Linked DNA regions of Stegostoma tigrinum. The protein of the gene in region 1 interacts with the protein of each later gene in a biochemical or structural test. Links are inferred from orthologs where the notes say so. Each region holds a gene or a part of one and is shown in the gene's direction. Other genes may lie near its edges.

Region 1 (7,001 bases):
AGTGCTTCAACATAATTATGTCCAATCAGCCAACTCGGTAGACTGTTCCCTCTTTCTCCCCATACTATTTGATCCCTTTAGTCCTATGAATGTATCTAGTTCCTTCTTGAAAACTTTTCATGTCCCAACGTGTACCAAATTTGATTCGACTGTAACCTTTGTGCATGCTAGCCCGCATAGGTTTCTGCTTTTTAAATTCTTATCCTTGTTTTTAGATCCCTCCTTCATCTCATTGCTCCCTAGCTCTGTAATCTCCTCCCATTCTCCAAAGAGCGCAACCTCCAATTCTTATCTCTTGAGCACTTAAAATTTTCATCACTCCATCACTGATGATTGTGTATCCATTACCAAGATCATAAAACTTTTTTTTCATTCATTCATAGGATGGGCATGTCATTGGCTGGGCCAGCACTTATTGCCCATCCCTAATTGCCTTTGAGAAGGTGGTGGTGAATTGGCTTCTTGAACTGCTGCATTTCATTTGGTTAGTTATACCCACAATGCTGTCATGCGCGCAATTTTAGGATTTTGGCCCAGCGACATTGAAGAATTGGCATTATATTTCCAAGTCAAGATGGTGAGTGGCTTAGAATGGAACTTACAGGTGGTGGTGTTTCATGTACCTTCTGTTGATGCCCTTCCAGGTGGTAACATTTGTGAGTCTGGAAGATGTTATCTAAGGAGCCTTGGTGAGCTACTGTAGTGCATCTTGTTGATGGTACACACCACACTTACTGAGCATCGGTGATGGAGGAAGTGAATATTTGTGGATGTGGCACTATTGAAGCAGGCTGCTTTGTTCTGGATGGTGTTAAACTTATTGAGTGTTGCTGAAGCTGCACTTTTCCAGATAAGTAAGGAGTAATCCATTGCATTCCCGTTTTATGCTTTAGAGGTGGTAGGCAGGCTTCCCTCCAGGGAGTCAGGAAATGAGTTGCTGCAGGATTGCCAGCCTCTGACCTATTCTTGGAGCTACAGTATATGTGTGGCTACTCAAATAAAAGCAAAATATTTCAAATGTTGGAAATTTGAAATAAACAGAAAATCCTGGAGAAACTCAGCAGGTCTGGCAGCATCTGTGGAGGGAGAGCAACAGATTTAAAGTTTCGAATAAAATATCATCATCAAATCCCTACAGTGTGAAAGCAGGCCATTCCCATCAAGCCCACACCACCACCCCAAACAGCAATCCCACCCTGACCTACCCCATCCCTGTAACTCTGCTTTTCCCATGTCTAACCCACCTAGCCTGCACATCCCTGGACACTATAGAACAATTTAGCATGGCCAATCCACTTAACTTGCACATCTTTGGACTGTGGAAGGAAACCCAGCCAGACACAGAGAGAATGTGCAAACTCCACACAGACAGCCAAATGAAGGTGGAATCAAACCTGGGTCCAACACACTGAGGCAGTAGTGCTAACCACTGAGCCATCATGCCATCCTCTGTTCTGAAGAAGAGTAATATTAGACTTGAAACATTAACTCTATCTCTGTTTCAACAGATGCTGCCAAACCTGGTGATTTTCTCCAGCATTTTCTGCTGTTATTTATAAGGGTAGTCGAGTTCACTTTCTGGTCAAAGTTAACCTCCAGGATGGTTATGTTTCCTCCCTAAATCACATATTTCCCCTCTTTCCTGCTTTAAGACAATCCTTAAAATCTACTTAATATCTCTCGTACATTTCTATGTGTAGTTTGTTACTACATTTTGTTTGATATACACCAGAAAAATTATGTTGGATAACTTAGTGCAGTAAAGGTACTAATAAATTAATGTTGCCATGTTTTTTTTATTCATTCACAGGATGAGGGTGTTGCTGGATATGCCGCATTTATTGCCCATCCCTAATTGCCCAGAGGGCAGTTAAGAGTCAACACATTGCTGTGGGTCTGGAGTCACGTGTAGGCCAGACCAGGTAAGGATGGAAGATTCCTTCCCTAAAGGTTTATTCATGTATAATCAATTACATATCGAAACCGTATTGAAAGATTGGTTGTGTAGTTAGAAAATTGCCTCAGTTAAACATTTAAACATAATCAACAATAGGTACTGGCTCAGTAGCTTTCTTTAAAATGACAATTGTGGCCCAAGAAGTCTGTACTGGCAAAGATATACTAAATCGTCACTTTCCAGCACTAAAGGTATTGTAATAACTATGTAGTTATATATCATAATATGCACTTGTTTTAAGGCTGTTCTGTGTTCAATCATATTTAATTTCAAACTTATTGCATGGAAGTTGACATTTTAAAAAGTGCAAGTCAGCATCTCTTTACAACAACGTCATAATAGTAGCTTGGATTCATACTGATCTCTATTTTAGCAGAGATGAAAGCAGTATTGGACCTAGAAAATCTTTGGAGTAATTGAATCTGAAGATGACAGTGGTGTGAACAAGAGTTTCAGCAGAAATTTCCTTTTTGACTTGACCAGCGTGTAAATGGATTACATAATGAATTGGAAGTAGATGTCTTTCTGACAGAAGGAAGATACGTTGAAAGCTCAGTCCAGCAATGAATAGGATAATAAGGGTCTAAACAGTCTGATAAACCACGAGACAGTTACAGTAGCTCACTGGAGTTGCACTATTAATTGTCACATTAACACATTATTTTCTTCATTATATCTCAAGAAAGTAGCAAATATAATCAATCAAAATGGTGGATGCTGTAAATCAGGAACAAAAACAGAAGTTGCTGGAAAAGCTCAGCAGGTCTGGCAGCATCTGTGAAGGGTCACTGGACCCGAAATGTTAACTCTGATTTTTTTCTTCACAGATGCTGCCAGACCTGCTGACGTTTTCCAGCAACTTCTGTTTTTGTAGCAAATATAATCATTTTATTCAAGAAGGAGAAAGGCTGTATGTAGACCAAGTAACGTGACATCTGATATCTGGAAGGCATTGGAATTATGAAAGGGATTATACCTTAGAAAAACATGAAGTAGTCAGCAAGAGTCAACATCATTTCATCAAAGAGAAATCATGTTTAGCCAATTTGTTGGAGTTCTTTGATGGAGTTCCATGGTCTGTGGATAATTGTAAACCTGCAGATGAGCTGGACTTGGATTTCCAGATGGCATTTGATAAGGTGGCACATAAATGGTATTTGCAGAAAATAAAAACTCATGGTGTGTAATGCATTGATAGAAAACTGACTGGTTGGCAGAAAATAAACAGTATGCATAAATAGGGCTTGGATGTGATAAGTCTTCCAGGTCAAATCCTGGTCTTTGCCTGAGCCTAAATTCATCAGATCCCAATCTTTCATCTACATGGCCCAGTTCAATTATCTTCTCTTCTTGATCTAAACTGATTTACTGGCATACCACAAGGAATTGACTAACGTTCTGTGCAATTGAGAATTTTAAATGTTTACTTAGATAAGAAATTTAAAGTATTAGACAAAAAGTTTGATGGGGGCAGCAAAATTATTTGGAATAGATTTGTTTTTTCAATGAGGAACCGTTTAAAAGCAACAGTACAACTGCAAACAAATGCAAAATGCCGTAGATGCTGGAAATCTGAAATAGAAACTGAAAATACACGTAATACTCAACAGGTATGAGTTCTACACCTGAGTCCAGAGTGGACAATGTGATGCGCCGAGGTTCCCAGCGCAAGGCGTCAAATTCACTTTGAAAAGCGGAAAATGGTGCCAATACTCAGCGGTTCAGGGCTGATTATAACTGAAAGGCTGGCGTATCTGCCCTCTCCACCTATACTGATTGACCTGAGTGTGTCCTCAGCATTTTCCGTTCGTGATCAGATTTCCAGCACATGCTTTTTAAAAAACATATATAAATGGTCTTTAGCGTGTTCAGCTGCTCAGTTGGACTCTCTGAACAAGCCAGAGACGGACACAATGATGTTATAATTGTTTTTTTGTGCGTGTCAGGGTGGTTGTTTCGACCGACAGCTACAAGACACTCTCATTTCCAAACATGCCGAGGTAAGCTAACAGGATGGAGTGGTCAAATGACCTCGGTGGAATTTCACTTGCTATTTGCAGTGCAGTGTCCCTAAAGCCTGGCAACAGGCTGACGATGGCTGTAAATCCACTATCTTATTTCAACTGTCTGACGTCATCCAAACTCACATTTCTTAACGTTGGAAGAGCAGAGAGAAAACTTTAATGTACTTTGCAAATTAATTTACCAAACACTACACCTTTCTCTGACTCATTTGTCTTCGGTGTGAGGGAGACTTTTATTGTTCTATGTCCGTCTCCAAGGGTCTGAGGAACTTTTTGGTGTTTATGCTCCTCTCACGAAAAGCAATGCATCTTTTCCAGTGCCCGTGACCTGATAGTTGCTTCTCTTTAGACCGTGTGTGAGTGCCGGAGCAGGTATTTAGCTCCCATTCAATGGGGTGGGGGAGGCGAGTTTGCAGACTCGCGCAAATGGTTTGAGAGGACGACCGTTCTCCTGCATTGGAATCGCGAATATCCTAGCTCTTCCGGCATCCTGCACGCAGGGCTGCGATGTGAACGGAGCCTGTGATCGCAGCAGTTGGCCAGAGTGTGTGGGAACCAGTGTGCAAGTGGGGGAATATGATGATGTCAGCGGGCGACAACTTTCTCGCTTAGTTATGGCGGAGGTCAACTTGAGAGAGTTGGCCAACCTTCGGATCTCCAACACGGCAGCGGGGATCGGCGCCGAGTCCTCACCCGGCTCCCTCGACCTTTAAAGGGACAGCGATCGGTGAAAGTGTGAGTGCGGTTGGGTGCACTGGGAAAGGGTTAAAGCCGCCGTTTGTTCCCTCTTGTCTGGTTTTATTTTGTTGTTGGTTGCTGCGGGTGGCTGTCCCTCTTTGCAGGAGGGCCCAAAGCGTCGAGCTTGTAGGCCGGTCCCAAAAATATCTGTTTTCTTTTAAGTTTTCCTTCCCCACCTTCCTCGACCCGAAAAGACTGCTCGGCGTAAGGCCGTTTCCCTCTTGGCGGTAACACGCAGCGACCATTGTAGAAGTTGTGCACACATTGTGCAGTCTGTCTGAGTGCCCAGGGTCAGCGCGATTGCTTTCGCCTCTGTTACACTAACTCGATCTATTGTGCGCTTCACATCTTTTCAAAATCCACCGAGTTCGGAGGAGGTAGTGCTGGTGGCGGTGGCGGGGCGGGGGTAGGAGGTGGTGGTTGGACCAAGTAAACTCAGAATATTTCGAGGGGCACAGAGACAGAGAGAGACAGAGAGAGAAAATAAAAATGGTCTGGTTCGCCCACACGATATTTATTCGAGCAAGAACACCGTCAACACACGCCGGGGTTTCATTCGGTTGAAAAATCCAAACACCTCGCCAGTGACTCCACTCCAGAGGGTTGTCACTCTCGCTAACTAATCTGCCGTGTGACTGTGAGAAGGTTTACTTGTTTCAAGTGAGCGGAGAGAATTCTCACGTGTACGATTCAGAAAGCATTCACGCGTGTCCTGAATGACACACAGGCACGATGGTGGTGGTCTGTGACTGTATGTGTGAGTGTCTGTCTGTACGTGGTTTGGGCTGGGTTTGGTGGTGGGTGGGGTTGCGAATTTTCACCCAACTCTTAGGCAAGTGGTTCTGTCGTGCGAGGCTTCCAAAAGGGGGAAACACCCATTCTGGAAATAAACTCCAGACGTAGAGATCCTTTCGTACTAATCGATCATTAACTGAAGTCTTTGGATGTAAACCTGGATCAAACAGATCGAAGCATGATAATGGCAGTGCGGTATCATTCTTTCGATCACTAGGAGCCAGACTTCCTTGAAACTGCCGAAATAGCTCTAAGCTTTTTTTTTAAGTTGAAGGCAGTTCAGTCAGCAGGCCCACAAAACATTACACCAGTGTAAATTCTACACTTATTCTATCCACTTATGCAGAATCCCTCTCGCATGCTGTCGATTCACACATTTTTATATAAAACAACACATTGCTGTTTGTTGTTGTATCCAGTTTAATATGTTTAAAAATAGGTAAATATTACCTCCAGTTTCAGGCAGTTTGCTGATAATTGGCTACCAGCACTTTCTCCTGCGTAGCATTGCTTGCAATTGAGATTTTGATATTTGGTAAATGTATTTTTCTGGTATTTACACTATAAAATTGAAGGTAACACAGTAAACATTGAGGCACACATAAAATTAAGTGGAAACTCATTTGAGATTGAGAAGAGTGTACCTTTTATTTTGTGAACTGGAAGTACAAAAATATAAATCTCCCAGAACTGACCCAAACCTGTCCTTGGTCTTCAGTTTTGGGAATCATTTAGAGTGTCTGTGTTGATTCACATATCTGTTTGATAAGACACTCAGGATGTAACACTGAAAAGTATGGTGTCATGTGACTACCACAGTGATGATTCTGATTTTTGTCTGTAGTGATCCCTGGGGGCACCTTTCTAAATGGATGTGGGAATATTGTGCGCCATAGTACACAATGGACTATCTCCCTACCACTCCTACGATTATTTGTGGGGTTGAACAAGAAAACATTTTGTAATTGGGATGTTTTATTTGTGAATGAAATATCAACAATCTTTCATAACATTATATATCAGACCAGGAAATGTTGGAGGACTATACAAAGAGATCCACTGTGTTTTGTGCTGTTGATCTGGCAAGCAATCTGTACACAACAGCCTAAAATACACCACCAATTCTGATGCTGTCCTTGCTTAAATATGTGAGAATGGAACTGCAGAAAGACTGGTATTTCTTTGTGTGACCCTATGAATAGGAGTTACATAAATTTGCATTCAGTTACTGTTCTGTGAATAACGACCCATAAACAACAGTCACTGTTTATGCTGGTACAGCCTTGGGTAGGTCAATTGTAGAAATAAGGTCACACTGGGAAAGACTTATCTAGATCTTGACACATAACAGGTAAACAATGCAGGAATTTGGATGTTTGTAGGAGTACTTATTTCACCATAGGTGGTAACTACTGCATACATAAAATACATAGAATATAAATAGAACGTGGTATTATTCCACAGCTGGCTAAATTTATTGGTCAACT
Region 2 (7,718 bases), on another chromosome or scaffold:
CCACTCTGCCATTTACAAACGAGCAGAAATATTCAGAGAGGACAAATGAGTATCAACAACCTGGAAAGCCAAAGAAGGATTATCTCAACATCGGAACTGGGAAGCCGAGACCACTGAGCTGACTTTCCAGTTTTCCATCTCTGCCAATAATCTATTTTCCAAATTTTATTTGTATAAGTGTGTAAGGGGTAGTTTATATATGTTCATAGGAAAGATGTGGATGCTTTGGAGAGGGTTCAGAGGAGGTTTACCAGGATGCTGCCTGGACTGGAGGGCTTATCTTATGAAGAGAGGTTGACTGAGCTCGATCTCTTTTCATTGGAGAAAAGGAGGAGGAGGGGGACCTAATTGAGGTATACAAGATAATGAGAGGCATAGATAGAGTTGATAGCCAGAGACTATTTCCCAGGGCAGAAATGGCTAGCACGAGGGGTCATAGTTTTAAGCTGGTTGGTGGAAAGTATAGAGGGGATGTCAGAGGCGGGTTCTTTACACAGAGAGTTGTGAGAGCATGGAATGCGTTTCCAGCAGCAGTTGTGGAAGCAAGGTCATTGGGGTCATTTAAGAGACTGCTGGACATGCATATGGTCACAGAAATTTGAGGGTGCATACATGAGGATCAATGGTCGGAACAACATTGTTGGCTGAAAGGCCTGTTCTGTGCTGTACTGTTCTATGTTCTATGTTCTATACCAATCATTTGCAATGAATAACAATCCTTGTTCAGTACAGAAACCTGGCTCATGCTTTCTGTCATCCTTGGTTTGAAAGTCAGATAAATTGGGGAACTGTGTGTTCTTTAACAAAATCTATAATCTTTTGTATGACTTTAGGAGTAGTGGGATTCAATTTGCAAAGTGCTACCCTAGTGGCTTGTAATACAGATTAATAATTTTACGCCATATTATGTTTTTTATTTGTCTCATTGCCACAATTCTACACCAGTGGCCACCATAGTCTTTCAATAAACCAACTAGATATCTATCTTGTCAGCATCATGACATCTTAATATTGTACAACAGTTTCCATTCTAATTCTGACGTTATTCACAACAGTTTAAATGAAATCCATCCTTTTGGTGCTCCAGCAGTTTGTGATTGAGAGCTGTTCTGGGGTTAAATCGATAACTCTGCATGATTAGGATAATGTCTTCTTTTTAGTGATCCAACACCAATCTGTTGCAACCTTGGTTGAACACAGTGTCCCATTAAGGGACAGCTTTTGGAGTGTAATCCCTCAACAGTACAATGGATCAAATGGTTGTGTTACATCTTCAAATTAATTTTGTAACAAGCAAAGACACTCCAGGATATGTAGTCTTTTATTTAATAGGTTCTGTGAGTGAGTCAAAGATTCAAGAAGTGATATTTTTCTGACTCAAACTATATTTGGCAGGTCATATGAAACAATCTGAAAGCTAAATGTCTGTTGAGATGAGAAAATTCTACTTGGCTTTCAGGTGTTTACTCAAAGCTGCTTAATTTTTCTCCTTCAGGTCTCAGTTGGACGTGGCATATCTCTCTCTTACATGTTTACTCCAAAATAAGATTAAAAATAATCAACATTAAAAAGAAGTAATTGAATGAACTTTGCCTCTACCTCTGTGAACATGAATTCTGCTGATACACCATTGAGTACAGCTCCTTTATCAGACAGCATATTATTTCTGCAACTGGTACAATTCAGGCTTAGGAATGTATTAACTTGTGTGTCTCTCATCTTCTGCGCCTCCAGAATATCAAGACTATATTTCAGTGAAAAATCCACTCTTTAGCCCAGAAGTTTGTTTCTTAATTCTTCATTTGTGGAATGTGGACCTTGTTAGCCAGGTCAGTATTTATTGTTCATTTCTAATTGCCCCAGGGAAAGTGGTGGTCAGCTGCCTCTTGAATCACTCCAGTACTCGGGGATGCAGGTACACCTATGGTGCTGACAGAGGGAATTGACCAGGAAATGGTGAAGAATGGTTATTAATGATGCAAATATCCCTTCCCTGGAGATGTCATGGAACATGGTGAGAAGAATAAATAAATGGGTCACTTTTTGCCACTTCAGCAAATAATTTCTGGGTGAGAAGGTCCTTCTTGATTAAGGGTTTCAATTAAGGGCTTAAGGTATTCAACCTCCACTGACCTGCTTACCTGCAGCAAGTGAACAACAAATGTAGGGAGTTCCTGACTGGGAAACGGGGGCAGTGTGCCTGCTGGGTTTGGGAGATGGAAAGTTCCTTCATTTTGCCATTCTGAGAGGGGACATTGAAGGGGAGCAGTCACTTCCTGCTGTAAACTATACTCACAAGCCTTGTCTCCAACCCTCTTCTACCATCCACTCCCTGCAACCCACACCACGACCCTGAAACCCTCCATCCGCAACACAAATAACTTACTGTCTCAAGGTTCAGCTCTTTTTGGATATGCAACCGGGAAATTCATTATCTTTATGAGTGCTGTTGCTTTCGAAGGTGCCTTGGTAAGCTGTTGCAGTGTATCTTTTACATGCCACACACTGATGTCACTGCGTGTTGATGCTAGAGGGAGTGAATGTTGAAAGTCATGACGGAGCGCTGATTAAACTGGCTGCTTTGTCCTAGCTTGTCTCGTGAATGAATGAATGAATGATTTTGTTGTCACCTGTATTTTCCAGTGAGAACAGTAAAATACAGTCCAAATCTTTTCCAATGATACTACAATACAGTGCTATTTTGAGTAGTTTTAAGAATAAGAAAAAGATGACAGCTTAACCAAAGTCCATCAATCCTGAGCCAGCTCATCATCAATGACACTTGCGCTGTTCCTCCTCCTCCACTGCTTTGCTGCTGTCTACACTCGACCCAAACACTGTTGAAGTTGCCATTCTTCAGACAGCATCTTTGCCACTAGACCTATGTCCCCAATATTTCCTATTGCAAATATAGCAACCACCGATTCTGATGCCAGATTCTGTAAGTAATGACTCAGTTGTTGCTGCCATGAGGTCCCCGCTGGGCTCACTTGGCACCATGAGTCCCCATTGTGCTCACTCAAGTCCATCCTGGGCTCTCTTGTGTCTGCACTGGGGTTCCTTGTCGCTGTCAATATTACTTGAAGTCAAGACAAGAGGTAAGTAAAAAGAAAAGCAGTCAGAGTGGATCAGCCCCAGTTCAGGAGCCCTACTCTGCTGCCATCTTGATGATGATCAAGTTACACTTGATGATGAATGTTACTGGTAATGCACTCATCTAGGCATTTGGAGATGAGTTCATGACTTGTAAATTATGAACAAGCAATGGGGGAGACAGGTGAATTACTTGCTGAAGATTTCCTAGTTTCTGGCCTACTTTTGTAGCCACTGGATTTGTCAGGTTGTTGCTTATAGGTTGCTCACTGACTGATGCTCAGCCTGAGTTCTACACACCAGGTGGTTCCTCGCGTCAGAACATCCTTGCTTCTAACTTGGACAAAAGAGTTCAACACAGAGCAGAAGTGACTGACTTCATGAGACATCAAGGCTGCATTTGATTGAATGGTGTATCAAGGAGTCCAAGCAGAATTGGAGTCAATGAGAATCAGGAGGAAATACCTCTCTGTTGGTTGGAGTTATAGCTTGCACAATGAGGATGGTTGTGGTTGTTGAGGATCAATCACCTCTGCTCCAGAACATCGCTGTACAAGCCCTTCAGGGTAGTGAGGAAGAAAGGACTGCAGCAGTACCAGAGGGCTGCCTTACCACCATTTTCTCAATGGCAATTAGGAATGGGCAATAAATGTTTATTTGGCCAGCAAAGTGCACATTCAACGTGTGAATTGAAAAAGGAGAGAATTTATCGATGCTAATGCCACTAAGTGTGAAGAAGAGATGGTGAGGATCTCTACATTTTCTCTTATTCAACTTGACTATTGCCACTCATGCATGGTGTGAATGTGACTTGCCATTTTTCAGTCCAATTGTGGATATTGTTTGGGTCTTGCTGCATGTGGACTGCTTCAGTATCTGTGAACGACGCTTATCCTTGTACAGTCATCAGCAAACATCCCCGGTTCTGATTTAATGATGGAAGAAGGGTGACCGAGGTAGCAGCCATGGGTTGGACCTTGGTCACTCCCCTGAGGAACTCCTGCAGAGGCTGGAAAGGGCTGATCAAGCTGATCTGAGTCAGGAAAACAGGCCCCGATACCGGAAGATGTTCAGTTTTGGGTGAACTGCTGGCTGGGAATTTGATACACTAATCCCAGGGAGGGCTCACTCAGAAACTTCTCAGACTCTTTGTGATGCCTCCTCTCAGGACACTGAGAGAACCCACATCCCCAGAGCCAAAAGAGATTGGCTCAGAGTCAGCTGGTTACGTCTTGCTGATTGGGGGGCAAGATCAAGTTGGTTGCGACTATTTAAATCCCGTGCATGGGCCGCACGCCATCCAAAGATTTGACAAACGCAGCTGAGACCACCACCATCGCGTGCCCAACACCATACGTCGTTTTGGTTTGGAAGGGTTAGGACAATCAGGCGGACGCGGCGAAGGGCGTGCCTGATCCAAGGTGACGGACATCGCTGGCATCCAATCGGCGCCCAGCCCCTCCAACAGCTTCGCCAACAGGAAGGCCGGGTGCGCCGTAGGGGTTGGGGAGGGGCGGGAGAATTTGCCGCCGACCGTTGGTGTTTGGGTGGCGCGTGCGCTTGTTTTTTGCTTTCGAAAAGCGTCGAGCGCGCGGGGGCCTTTTACACGCGAAGCTGCAAAGCTGTGCGTATCGCCCAGCCGGTGAACTCCGTTGGTTTTGTTGAACGGTACTGGACAAATGATGAGGTAAACTGCCCTTGTTTTCTCTGGGTGGTGGTCTGGCACTCAAAACACAATTTTTACGTGTGTTTCGAGCTTGTTGTGGACGTGCCCATGCTGTAATTCGCACATTTTTGTTCGCAGGGGAGTTTGTGCGGTGAAACAGGTGGAATTGCTTCGCGACAAGTTTTCTTTCTTTCTGCACTGGCAGCTTGTGCTAAAAATACAATGTTTGCTTCGTGCCAACTCTTGGTCTCTCTCTCTCTCTCTGTCACTGTCTTGATGGAATGACATAAGCTGCCGTCGGCCGTCTGATACATTTTTTGTCTTTATTTTCATACTTTGCCCCGAAATTTACGCACCGCTCAGCAAATGGGGTTCTGTGTTTGTTGACAACGGAACTGTCAACATGAGGAAGAGTTCGTTCCGGGTCGGATATTCCTGTCTGCATGTTGTCCCAAGGCGGATCCCGCAGAAAGACACAGAGAAGCATTGTTGGCAAACCTCTCCTGATAACAGAACATTCAGAGAACTCAAAATGGTCAGGAGGAAGAATGGACCAACGTTTGGAGACACAGCGTTTCCCAACCTGCAGATGACCTAGTGTTTGGCTGTTCGTGTGAAACAGTGCAGCCTGTTTCTGCACAACAAGACCTTACATGCAGTACCCTGATTAGGAACGGAGAATCTGTTCTTTTTTCGTTGTGTCGGTCAAGGGATATGTTTGTTCGAGGACAGCCCAGTTCTTTCAGTTAGTGCAGTGGGATTTTTTTTCCCTCCACCTCGGGTATTCTGAGTTTAAAGTCTCATCCAGAAGAAAACAACTGAACCACCTGAAGCTCTGAAAATCTATCTCCCAGCTTTAACCACCACCACCAACCTAAATATTTGCATATTTCTTGTTGCTCCCCGAAGACACCGCTTGAAATTGAAATGCAGGCAAAATACTGCAAATGCTTGAAATCTGAAATAAAAATTCAAAGTACTGGGAAACTCAGCAGCTCTAGCAGCATCTGTGGCCAGAGAAAGAGAGTTGACTCTTGAATCCAGCCTGCCTCCTTTCAGTGATAATGGGAACTGCAGATGCTGGAGAATCCAAGATAATAAAATGTGAGGCTGGATGAACACAGCAGATCCAGCAGCATCTCAGGAGCACAAAAGCTGACGTTTCGGGCCTATTATCTTTCCTCCTTTTCAGAATAGTTTTACTCCTACAAAACTGATCCTTTCCAAAGATTTCCTGAGAATGGTTCGGCATTAAGTTTTGTTTGGTAAAGCTCTGAGTGACAATATTGCCACAGAAATGCAAAGATTTGTTATTTGTTACTGCTTGTTTTGTTTGAACAAAAATGCCTCAGCTTTGGCCATTATGTTGCCATTTGTTGATTGTCAAAACACTGCTGACATTTCCGTGACATGGATACCTCAGAAGGTGATGATGATATTTACATACAAAGCACTCCATCTAACTGTGATAACAAAGTGTGGAGCTGGATGAGCACAGCAGGCCAGGCAGCATCTCGGGAGCACAAAAGCTGACGTTTCGTGCCTAGACCCTCTCTGATGAAGGGTCTAGGCCTGAAACGTCAGCTTTTGTGGTCCTGAGATGCTGCTTGGCCTGCTGTGTTCATCCAGCTCCGCACTTTGATATCTTGGATTCTCCAGCATCTGCAGTTCCCATTATCACCACATCTAACTCTCATAGTTTCACTTGGGTCCATGAATTTCTTCGCATACACACAGTTCAGATCTGATGCCAGCTTTTTTCTGTGAGGAAACTAATCCAGATATCAGAAAACCTTGTGGTTTTCACTTTCATATTGTTTGTAATACCTTCGTGAGGTTTTCTGAATGATCTCTCTTTTAAAGTAGTGTTTCAAAGAAATGGCTTTTAGTTGGTCTGAAAATTGGCATTCTCCAGCTGCAAAGTTTGGCACTTGAAAATCAGGAAGACAGTAACACTTCTTGAATTTTGTTGATCAATATACTGAACCCACCAGTTCTATAAGTGATAATGGGAACTGCAGATGCTGGAGAATCCAAGATAATAAAATGTGAGGCTGGATGAACACAGCAGGCCCAGCAGCATCTCAGGAGCACAAAAGCTGATGTTTTGGGCCTGGACCCTTCATCAGAGAAGGGGATGGGGTGAGGGTTCTGGAATAAATAGGGAGAGAGGGGGAGGCGGACCGAAGACGGAGAGAAAAGAAGATAGGTGGAGAGGAGAGTATAGGTGGGGAGGTAGGGAGGGGATAGGTCAGTCCAGGGAAGACAGACAGGTCAAGGAGGTGGGATGAGGTTAGTAGGTAGGAGATGGAGGTGTGGCTTGGGGTGGGAGGAAGGGATGGGTGAGAGGAAGAACAGGTTAGGGAGGCAGAGACAGGTTGGACTGGTTTTGGGATGCAGTAGGTGGAGGGGAAGAGCTGGGCTGGTTGTGTGGTGCAGTGGCGGGAGGGGATGAACTGGGCTGGTTTTGGGATGCGGTGGGGGAAGGGGAGATTTTGAAGCTGGTGAAGTCCACATTGATACCATTGGGCTGCAGGGTTCCCGTGCGGAATATGAGTTGCTGTTCCTGCAACCTTCGGGTGGCATCGTTGTGGCACTGCAGGAGGCCCATGATGGACATGTCATCTAGAGAATGGGAGGGGGAGTGGAAATGGTTTGCAACTGGGAGGTGTAGTTGTTTATTGCGAACCGAGCTGAGGTGTTCTGCAAAGCGGTCCCCAAGCCTCCACTTGGTTTCCCCAATGTAGAGGAAGCCACACTGGGTACAATGGATGCAGTATACCACATTGGCAGATGTGCAGGTGAACTTCTGCTTAATATGGAACGTCATCTTGGGGCCTGGGATAGGGGTGAGGGAGGAGGTGTGGGGGCAAATGTAGCATTTCCTGCGGTTGCAGGGGAAGGTGCCGGGTGTGGTGGGGTTGGAGGGGAGTGTGGAGCGAACAAGGGAGTCACGGAG
Region 3 (7,203 bases), on another chromosome or scaffold:
GGAGAGGAACGGCTGCTGGAGGTTCTGGGATTTAGATGCTCTAAAAGAAATAGGGTGAGGGGAAAAAGAAACGGGGCAGTTGCACTGCTAGCCAGGGCTAATATAGCAGCTACTGAAACACAGTTCGAGAATGATATGTCGAGAGAGTCAGTTTGGTTTGAGGTCCAGAACAACAAAGGAGCAGTCACTTTGTTGGGGTTTTTTTTAAAAACAGATCCCCCTAATAGTTGTAGAGAAGTGGAGAAGCAGATTGGGAGGCAGATACTGGAAAGGTGCAGAAGTCACAGGGTTGTAACCACGGGTGACTTCAACTTTCCAAATATTGATTGGAAACATTTTAGTTGTAATAGTTTAGATGGAGCGGATTTTGTCCAGTGCTTTCAAGAAGGATTCCTGACACATTATGTAGATAGACCAACACAAGGAGAGGGCAAGATAATAAAATGTGAGGCTGGATGAAGACAGCAGGCCCAGCAGTATCTCAGGAGCACAAAAGCTGACGTTTCGGGCCTAGACCCTTCATCAGAGAGGGGGATGGGGTGAGGGTTCTGGAATAAATAGGGAGAGACGGGGAGGCGGACCGAAGTTGGAGAGAAAAGAAGATAGGTGGAGAGGAGAGTATAGGTGGGGAGGTAGGGAGGGAATAGGTCAGTCCAGGGAAGACGGACAGGTCAAGGAGGTGGGATGAGGTTAGTACGTAGGAGATGGAGGTGCGGCTTGGGATGGGAGGAAGGGATGGGTGAGAGGAAGAACAGGTTAGGGAGGCAGTGACAGGTTGGACTGGTTTTGGGATCCAGTGGGGGGGAGAGCTGGGCTGGTTGTGTGGTGCAGTGGGGGGAGGGGACGAAGTGGGCTGGTTTTGGGATGCGGTGGGGGAAGGGGAGATTTTGAAGCTGATGAAGTCCACATTGATACCATTGGGCTGCAAGGTTCCCAAGCGGAATATGAGTTGCTGTTCCTGCAACCTTCGGGTGGCATCATTGTGGCACTGCAGGAGGCCCATGATGGACATGTCATCTAAAGAATGGGAGGGGGAGTGGAAATGGTTTGCAACTGGGAGGTGCAGTTGTTTATTGCGAACCGAGCGGAGGTGTTCTGCAAAGCGGTCTGCAAGCCTCCGCTTGGTTTCCCCAATGTAGAGGAAGCCACACCGGGTACAGTGGATGCAGTATACCACATTGGCAGATGTGGAGGTGAACCTCTGCTTAATGTGGAAAGTCATCTTGGGGCTTGGGATAGGGATGAGGGAGGAGGTGTGGGGGCAAGTGTAGCATTTCCTGCGGTTGCAGGGAAAGGTGCCGGGTGTGGTGAGGTTGGAGGGCAGTGTGGAGTGAACAAGGGAGTCACGGAGAGAGTGGTCTCTCCGGAAAGCAGACAGGGGTGGGGATGGAAAAATGTCTTGGGTGGTGGGGTCGGATTTTAGATGGCGGACGTGTCGGAGGATGATGCGTTGTATCCGGAGGTTGGTGGGGTGGTGTGTGAGAACGAGGGGGATCCTCTTTGGATCCCATAACCAGCCCAGCTTGTCCCCTCCCCCCACTGCACCACACAACCAGCCCAGCTCTTCCCCTCCACCCACTGCATCCCAAAACAAGTCCAACCTGTCTCTGCCTCCCTAACCTGTTCTTCCTCTCACCCATCCCTTCCTCCCACCCCAAGCCGCACCTCCATCTCCTACCTACTAACCTCATCCCACCTCCTTGACCTGTCTGTCTTCCCTGGACTGACCTATCCCCTCCCTACCTCCCCACCTATACTCTCCTCTCCACCTATCTTCTTTTCTCTCCATCTTCAGTCCGCCTCCCCGTCTCTCCCTATTTATTCCAGTTCCCTCTCCCTGTCCCCCTCTCTGATGAAGGGTCTAGGCCCGAAACGTCAGCTTTTGTGCTCCTGAGATGCTGCTGGGCCTGCTGTGTTCATCCAGCCTCACATTTTATTATCTTGGATTCTCCAGCATCTGCAGTTCCCATTATCACTGATACAAGGAGAGGGCATTTTGGATTTGGTGCTTCACAATGAACTGGGCCGAACGTGAGATCTGTTGGCAGGAAAGCATTTCGGCAGTAGTGATCATAACTCTGTTAATTTTACAATACTCATGGAAAAGGATAGGTACATACAGCAGAGTAAGGTTTATAATTGGGGTGGGGGGAGAAGGGTAATTACAATTCCGTTAGGCAAGAACACGGTAACTAAATTGAGAACAGATGCTGTCAGGGAAGAGCACTATCGAAATGTGGAGATTGTTTATGGAATGCATACAGCGTGTGCTCGATGTGTTTGCCCCTGGCAGTAAGGGAAGACGCGGTCACGTGAAGGAGCGCTGGTTCTCATGAGAGGTCGAATGTCTGGTTAAGAGGATGCTTATGTAAGGATTAGGAAACAAGGATTGGAAAAGGCTCTAGAGGGATACAAGTTTTCCAGGAAGGAGCTGAACAAAGAGCTTAGGAGAGCTATAAGGGGGCATGAGAAAACCTTGGTGGATAGGATCAAGGAAAACTTCAGGCCTTTTTACACATACGTGAGAAATAAGAGAACGACCAGAGAAAGGGTAGGGCCAATCAAGGATTGTAAAGGGAATTTGTGCACAGAGCGTAAAGAGATCGGAGAGGTCCTGAATGAATACTTTTCTTCGATATTCACAACTGAGAGGGACCCAGTTGTAGAGGAGTACAGTCTGAAACAGGCTGGTAGGCTAGAGGAGATCGATGTTGGTAAGGAAGATGTACCAGGAATTTTGAGGGAGTTGAAAATAGATAAGTACCCCAGGACTGATGGGATTTATCCAAGGATTCTATGGGAAGCAAGGGAAGAGATCACAGGGCCTTTGGCGATGATCTTTTCACCCTCACTGTCCAAGGATATAGTGCCGGATGATTGGAGAGAGAGAAACAACATTCCCTTGTTCAAAAACGGGAATAGGGATAACCCTGGAAATTACAGGCCAATTACTCTTACGTCAGTGATGGGCAAATTATTGGAAAGGGCTCTGAGATATAGGATTTATGATCACTTGGATAGGCACAACTTGATTTGTGATAGTCAGCATGAATTTGTGAGGCGTAGATCTTGCCTCACAAACCTTATTGAATTCTTTGAAGAGGTTATCAAACACGTGGATGAAGGTGGAGCAGTGGATGTGGTATACATGGTTTTAAGTAAGGTGTTTGATAAGGTTCCCCATGGTAGGCTTTTGCAGAAGGTAAGGAGGCATGGGATAGGCGGAAATGTGGCAGATTGGATTCAGAATTGACTGACCCTAAGAAGGCAAAGGATGGCAGTGGATGGAAAATATTCAACATGGTGCTCAGTTATGAGTGGTGTACCACAAAGACCTGTCCTGGGTTCTCTTCTGTCTGTTGCTCTGACTTTTAGAAGGGGAGCACAATGGCTCGGGGGTTGGCACTGCTGCCTCACAGCACCAGGGACCCAGGTTCAATGCCAGCCTCAGGTGACTGTGTGGAGCTTGCACATTCTTCCTGTGTCTGAGCGGGTTTCCTTCGGGTGCTCCGGTTTCCTTCCATAGTCCAAAGATATGCAGGCTAGGTGGATTGCCCATACTAAATTGTCCATAATAACCAGGGATGCGCACACTTGGTGGATTAGCCAATGGGAAATACAGGGTAACAAAGTGTGGAGCTGGATGAACACAGCAGGCCAAGCAGCATCTTAGGAGCACAAAAGCTGACATTTCGGGCCTAGACCTAAAATACAGGGTTACAGAGTTGGGTAAGGGCGTGGGTCTGAGTGGGATGCTCGTCGGAGGCTCGGTCCAGACTCGATGGGCCAAATGGCCTATTTCCACACTGTAAGGAATTCACTAAAGGGAGGGAATCAAATGAACTTCAATTCCCAGCAATCAGCGCGAGATGCGCGTGTTGGGTAGGGCTTGAGAACGGGGCGGGGTGAACAGACCAGCCGCCAGCGTTGCTGAGAAACCAACACTTGCCCTGCGCGCAGCCGGCACACTGAGGCATGGGAAGGCGGAGTGGGCGGGGAGATATATGATTGACGCACGTTTCAGCCAATCGATACGTGGAAGAAAACGTTAGGCCGGCGGGGTTAGTCCAATAGGCGGCGGTGAGGGGGTGGGTCCTGCCTGTTGGAAGGTTCCGGTTGAATCTGGTGAAGGGGAAAGGGGGCCGGAGCTGCGCCACTACGCGTTTAGAGAGCCCAAAAATAGCAAATACCTGACAGATCATACCTCAGTAGAACAGAAATTACCATTGATTGTGTTTTTTGTTGCTTTCTAAACTCCGTATTTCTTAAAAGAAATCCATGTAGATTAATTTATTGAGGTATTAAGTTCCCACCCCTCCCCCTACTTTTTTTCCTGGGGGGGTTGTCGGCCTGTAATTTGAATTCTTTTAAAAAGGAAATAACAACAGAAACATTTTTTAAAATATAAAAAAGTACTTTTTTTGGCTTGAACCTCGTTGTTAACATGCCACAACCGAAGTCCCGTAAGGTTGCGATATTAGGATACAGATCTGTGGGTGAGTAAAAAGCGTTTGGCACAGCCCAGCCTGTGCACTGAGTGAGCAGTTAACCCAGAGACGGCAGTGCTCTCATCATTTGCAAACATTCGTGCTTGTTCTGCAAGGTCTTGCAACCAGTTTTTATATAGCTGTGCATTGATATGGGGTTAGTAGAGACATCTTAACGTCATTATTACTTGTTATGGAAAATGCTCCAGCTCGATTTTTCTTTTAAAAAATGTTTCCACAAGCTTAGACGTTATTGCTTGTTACACAAGGTCTTGAGAGGAATTTTCATGTGTCTGTGAATAAGACACTGATCTGCATGGTCAGACTAAGACATTCCCGCTTGCTGTATGGAATTTTGTAGCTACGTATTATGTATCACTATTTTCATGAACTCGTTATTTGGGGCCGTTACACCTTTACAAGATCGTGTAATCTTCGCAAATTTGTGTAGGCTGAGCAGGAAGCTGAAAGACGTTGGTTGTTTTCGAAAATCTTGCAACTAGTTGTCCTATATCAGTATTTCCTTAATTTAATCATTTCATGACATTATTGCTTGATCCAGAATATTCCGCAACTGTTTAGATTGTATTTATACATTAGCATAAAACCAAAGATTAAATCTCTGGAATAACTAACCTCGTGTAATGGCTGACTTTCCTTCCTCCCTCAACCTTTACTTTGTTTTACCACGGAATGGTGGTTTGTTACTGGTTTTAGTAACTAATGTTGCTGCCAACAACTCTTAAAGTCTCTTCTCGATTTTAAAAAAACTTTATTAGATTAACTAGCCTTATGCTACGATTGACCATATTCTTTACCAGGATGGAGAACTTTTGTTTTGTATAGTGCGTCGGTGTGATGCATGTTAAATGTGTTTTTCTGGTTTGTTCCAGCGACGTTAATTCACAAAGGAATTCTCTAGGAAACCTAACCCCACGTAATGACTGTCCTTTTACTTCCCCTCCCCCATTCGTTAGCTTTGTTTTAGCTTTTCAGTGACAGCTGGTAGAGAAATAAGCGTTATTACGGTGTGTTTCTTGGAATTTCTGTTTGTGGAGTGCCTTTTAATAAAATATTACAGACTGTAATCGGTAATTTTTGTTTTAAAAGTAGTTTTCTCTGCAAATGTTAACATTGCATAACTACTTTGCGACGTAAATTTCGACTTAAACGTGGTTGGATACACGAGAGGCAATTAGTTCAGTGAAACCTGGTGGATTCGGCTTTTTAAATAGCCGTTCCTTACGGTAAATGGGCCTTTTACCATCGCTCAATGTCGCAATGGCAGATTTTACCCTTTAATTTTAGTCATCTATTTCAGTGTATTATGTTGCGTTAATTTAGTGATGCAGTTTGAACAATGAAGGTTGTTTTACAACAAGTCATTTACCTGAGGGAAAAATGCATTTATGTAATCTGTGCAGGATTTCAATTTTAGATTATTAGTATGTTGGGATTTAATACCAAGCTATTAAAGGTTTAGAAACATAAATTTAAGCAGTGATACTGTCAGCAGAAATAAATGCCTTGATGCATTAAAGCTGAACAGCCAGGAGGATTTTGCTGCAGTTTTCTAATGTTTCAGGCTATCCAGATATCGGCTGCTATCTAAATGTTTATGATCATAGCAATAGATTATTGCCTAATGCAGCAATTGCCTTGCTAATGTTGTGATTCATTTTGGAGCACCCCATGTTTGGCATGCTTTCTGGATGTGGACATAGCAAATGGACTACTTTGAGGGTTATGACTTCTTTTGGTGTATTTTTGGAATCATGAGCCCTTTCTAGCTAAGGAACGTTGTATAGCATATTACCCTTGGAATTCTGTGGCTTTGAAATGTAAACGTTTTTCTGTTGCTGAAAAATTCCTAGCACTTGCATGGAACAGATTAATTCAGTTAGGACCTGGTCATTTTTGCAATTGTGCAGGTTGCCTTGATGAATTTAAACAAATTTAAGCAGTGTTTTTACAAGTATTTCATAGCAAAACAATTTCAACTAAATAGTAAAATAATGGTAAATGCGAGTATGTAAAATCAAGGCCATTGACATGACACTGATAAAATAGCCTGTTTTGCTCAGTGTGTAGTGTCATTCCAGTCCTGAGTTGCGTTATGTCTGTGAAATGTACTCCAACGTGTTGTTGTCATCATACACACAGGTTTTTAAAAAAAAAATTAGCCTGTATTTGTGTATTAGAGTGGGCAGACAGAACAAGCTCTGACAATTGAACCATGATTGGAATCAAAGCTGTGTTGATTTTGTCATTTGGATTATATTGAAAGTGAAATTTCATGTGGCACGTTGCAGTATCAGTGTTCAATCTAATAATCAGGCTTCTGTGGTTCACCTATGGTGTGGCTAACACCAGTTCGCTGTAAACTTACACTAGTTGGAGAATCTTGTATTACTTACAACTAGCTCTCTTTTCAGAATCTTACAGATCTTTTAAAGTAAAGTATTCCTAACTTTTGGGCATTAGCTTGGGCCATCTGGATGTTTAGTTTTTGCCATTGCTTTGACGACACATACTTCATTGCCCTTGCAATAAAGGCCAGTATTCTATAGATCTTCCTAATCATTTATATCACGAAGTTAACATGCACCTATGTCATAAGGGCATCCACAAACTGCATACTGCAGTGTCTGCAAACACTGCATTTAAATATTCTTCATTTCTTCTGTTCTTCCTGTCAAAGTGGGCACCCTCATTT

Evidence for each region. The genes of interacting proteins can lie anywhere in the genome.
Region 2: the proteins of raf1b (region 1) and phosphatidylethanolamine-binding protein 4 form a complex in vitro, tested with the Homo sapiens proteins (2 studies listed by BioGRID). The link is inferred for Stegostoma tigrinum from reciprocal best matches to the Homo sapiens genes RAF1 and PEBP4.
Region 3: the proteins of raf1b (region 1) and rheb form a complex in vitro, tested with the Homo sapiens proteins (3 studies listed by BioGRID and IntAct). The link is inferred for Stegostoma tigrinum from reciprocal best matches to the Homo sapiens genes RAF1 and RHEB.

The regions. Positions count from the first base shown.
Region 1 is NC_081364.1:25,156,060-25,163,060, reverse strand, and holds the start of raf1b (RAF proto-oncogene serine/threonine-protein kinase), read left to right. Parts: upstream 1-3,934; 5' UTR 3,935-3,949; coding exon 3,950-3,957; intron 3,958-4,103; exon of another isoform or gene 4,104-4,716; intron 4,717-7,001. UniProt on the Homo sapiens protein: Serine/threonine-protein kinase that acts as a regulatory link between the membrane-associated Ras GTPases and the MAPK/ERK cascade, and this critical regulatory link functions as a switch determining cell fate decisions including proliferation, differentiation, apoptosis, survival and oncogenic transformation.
Region 2 is NC_081393.1:4,634,497-4,642,214, reverse strand, and holds the start of phosphatidylethanolamine-binding protein 4, read left to right. Parts: upstream 1-4,613; 5' UTR 4,614-4,772; coding exon 4,773-4,780; intron 4,781-6,145; exon of another isoform or gene 6,146-6,185; intron 6,186-7,718. UniProt on the Homo sapiens protein: Promotes AKT phosphorylation, suggesting a possible role in the PI3K-AKT signaling pathway.
Region 3 is NC_081355.1:146,855,574-146,862,776, forward strand, and holds the start of rheb (GTP-binding protein Rheb), read left to right. Parts: upstream 1-4,098; 5' UTR 4,099-4,444; coding exon 4,445-4,496; intron 4,497-7,203. UniProt on the Homo sapiens protein: Small GTPase that acts as an allosteric activator of the canonical mTORC1 complex, an evolutionarily conserved central nutrient sensor that stimulates anabolic reactions and macromolecule biosynthesis to promote cellular biomass generation and growth.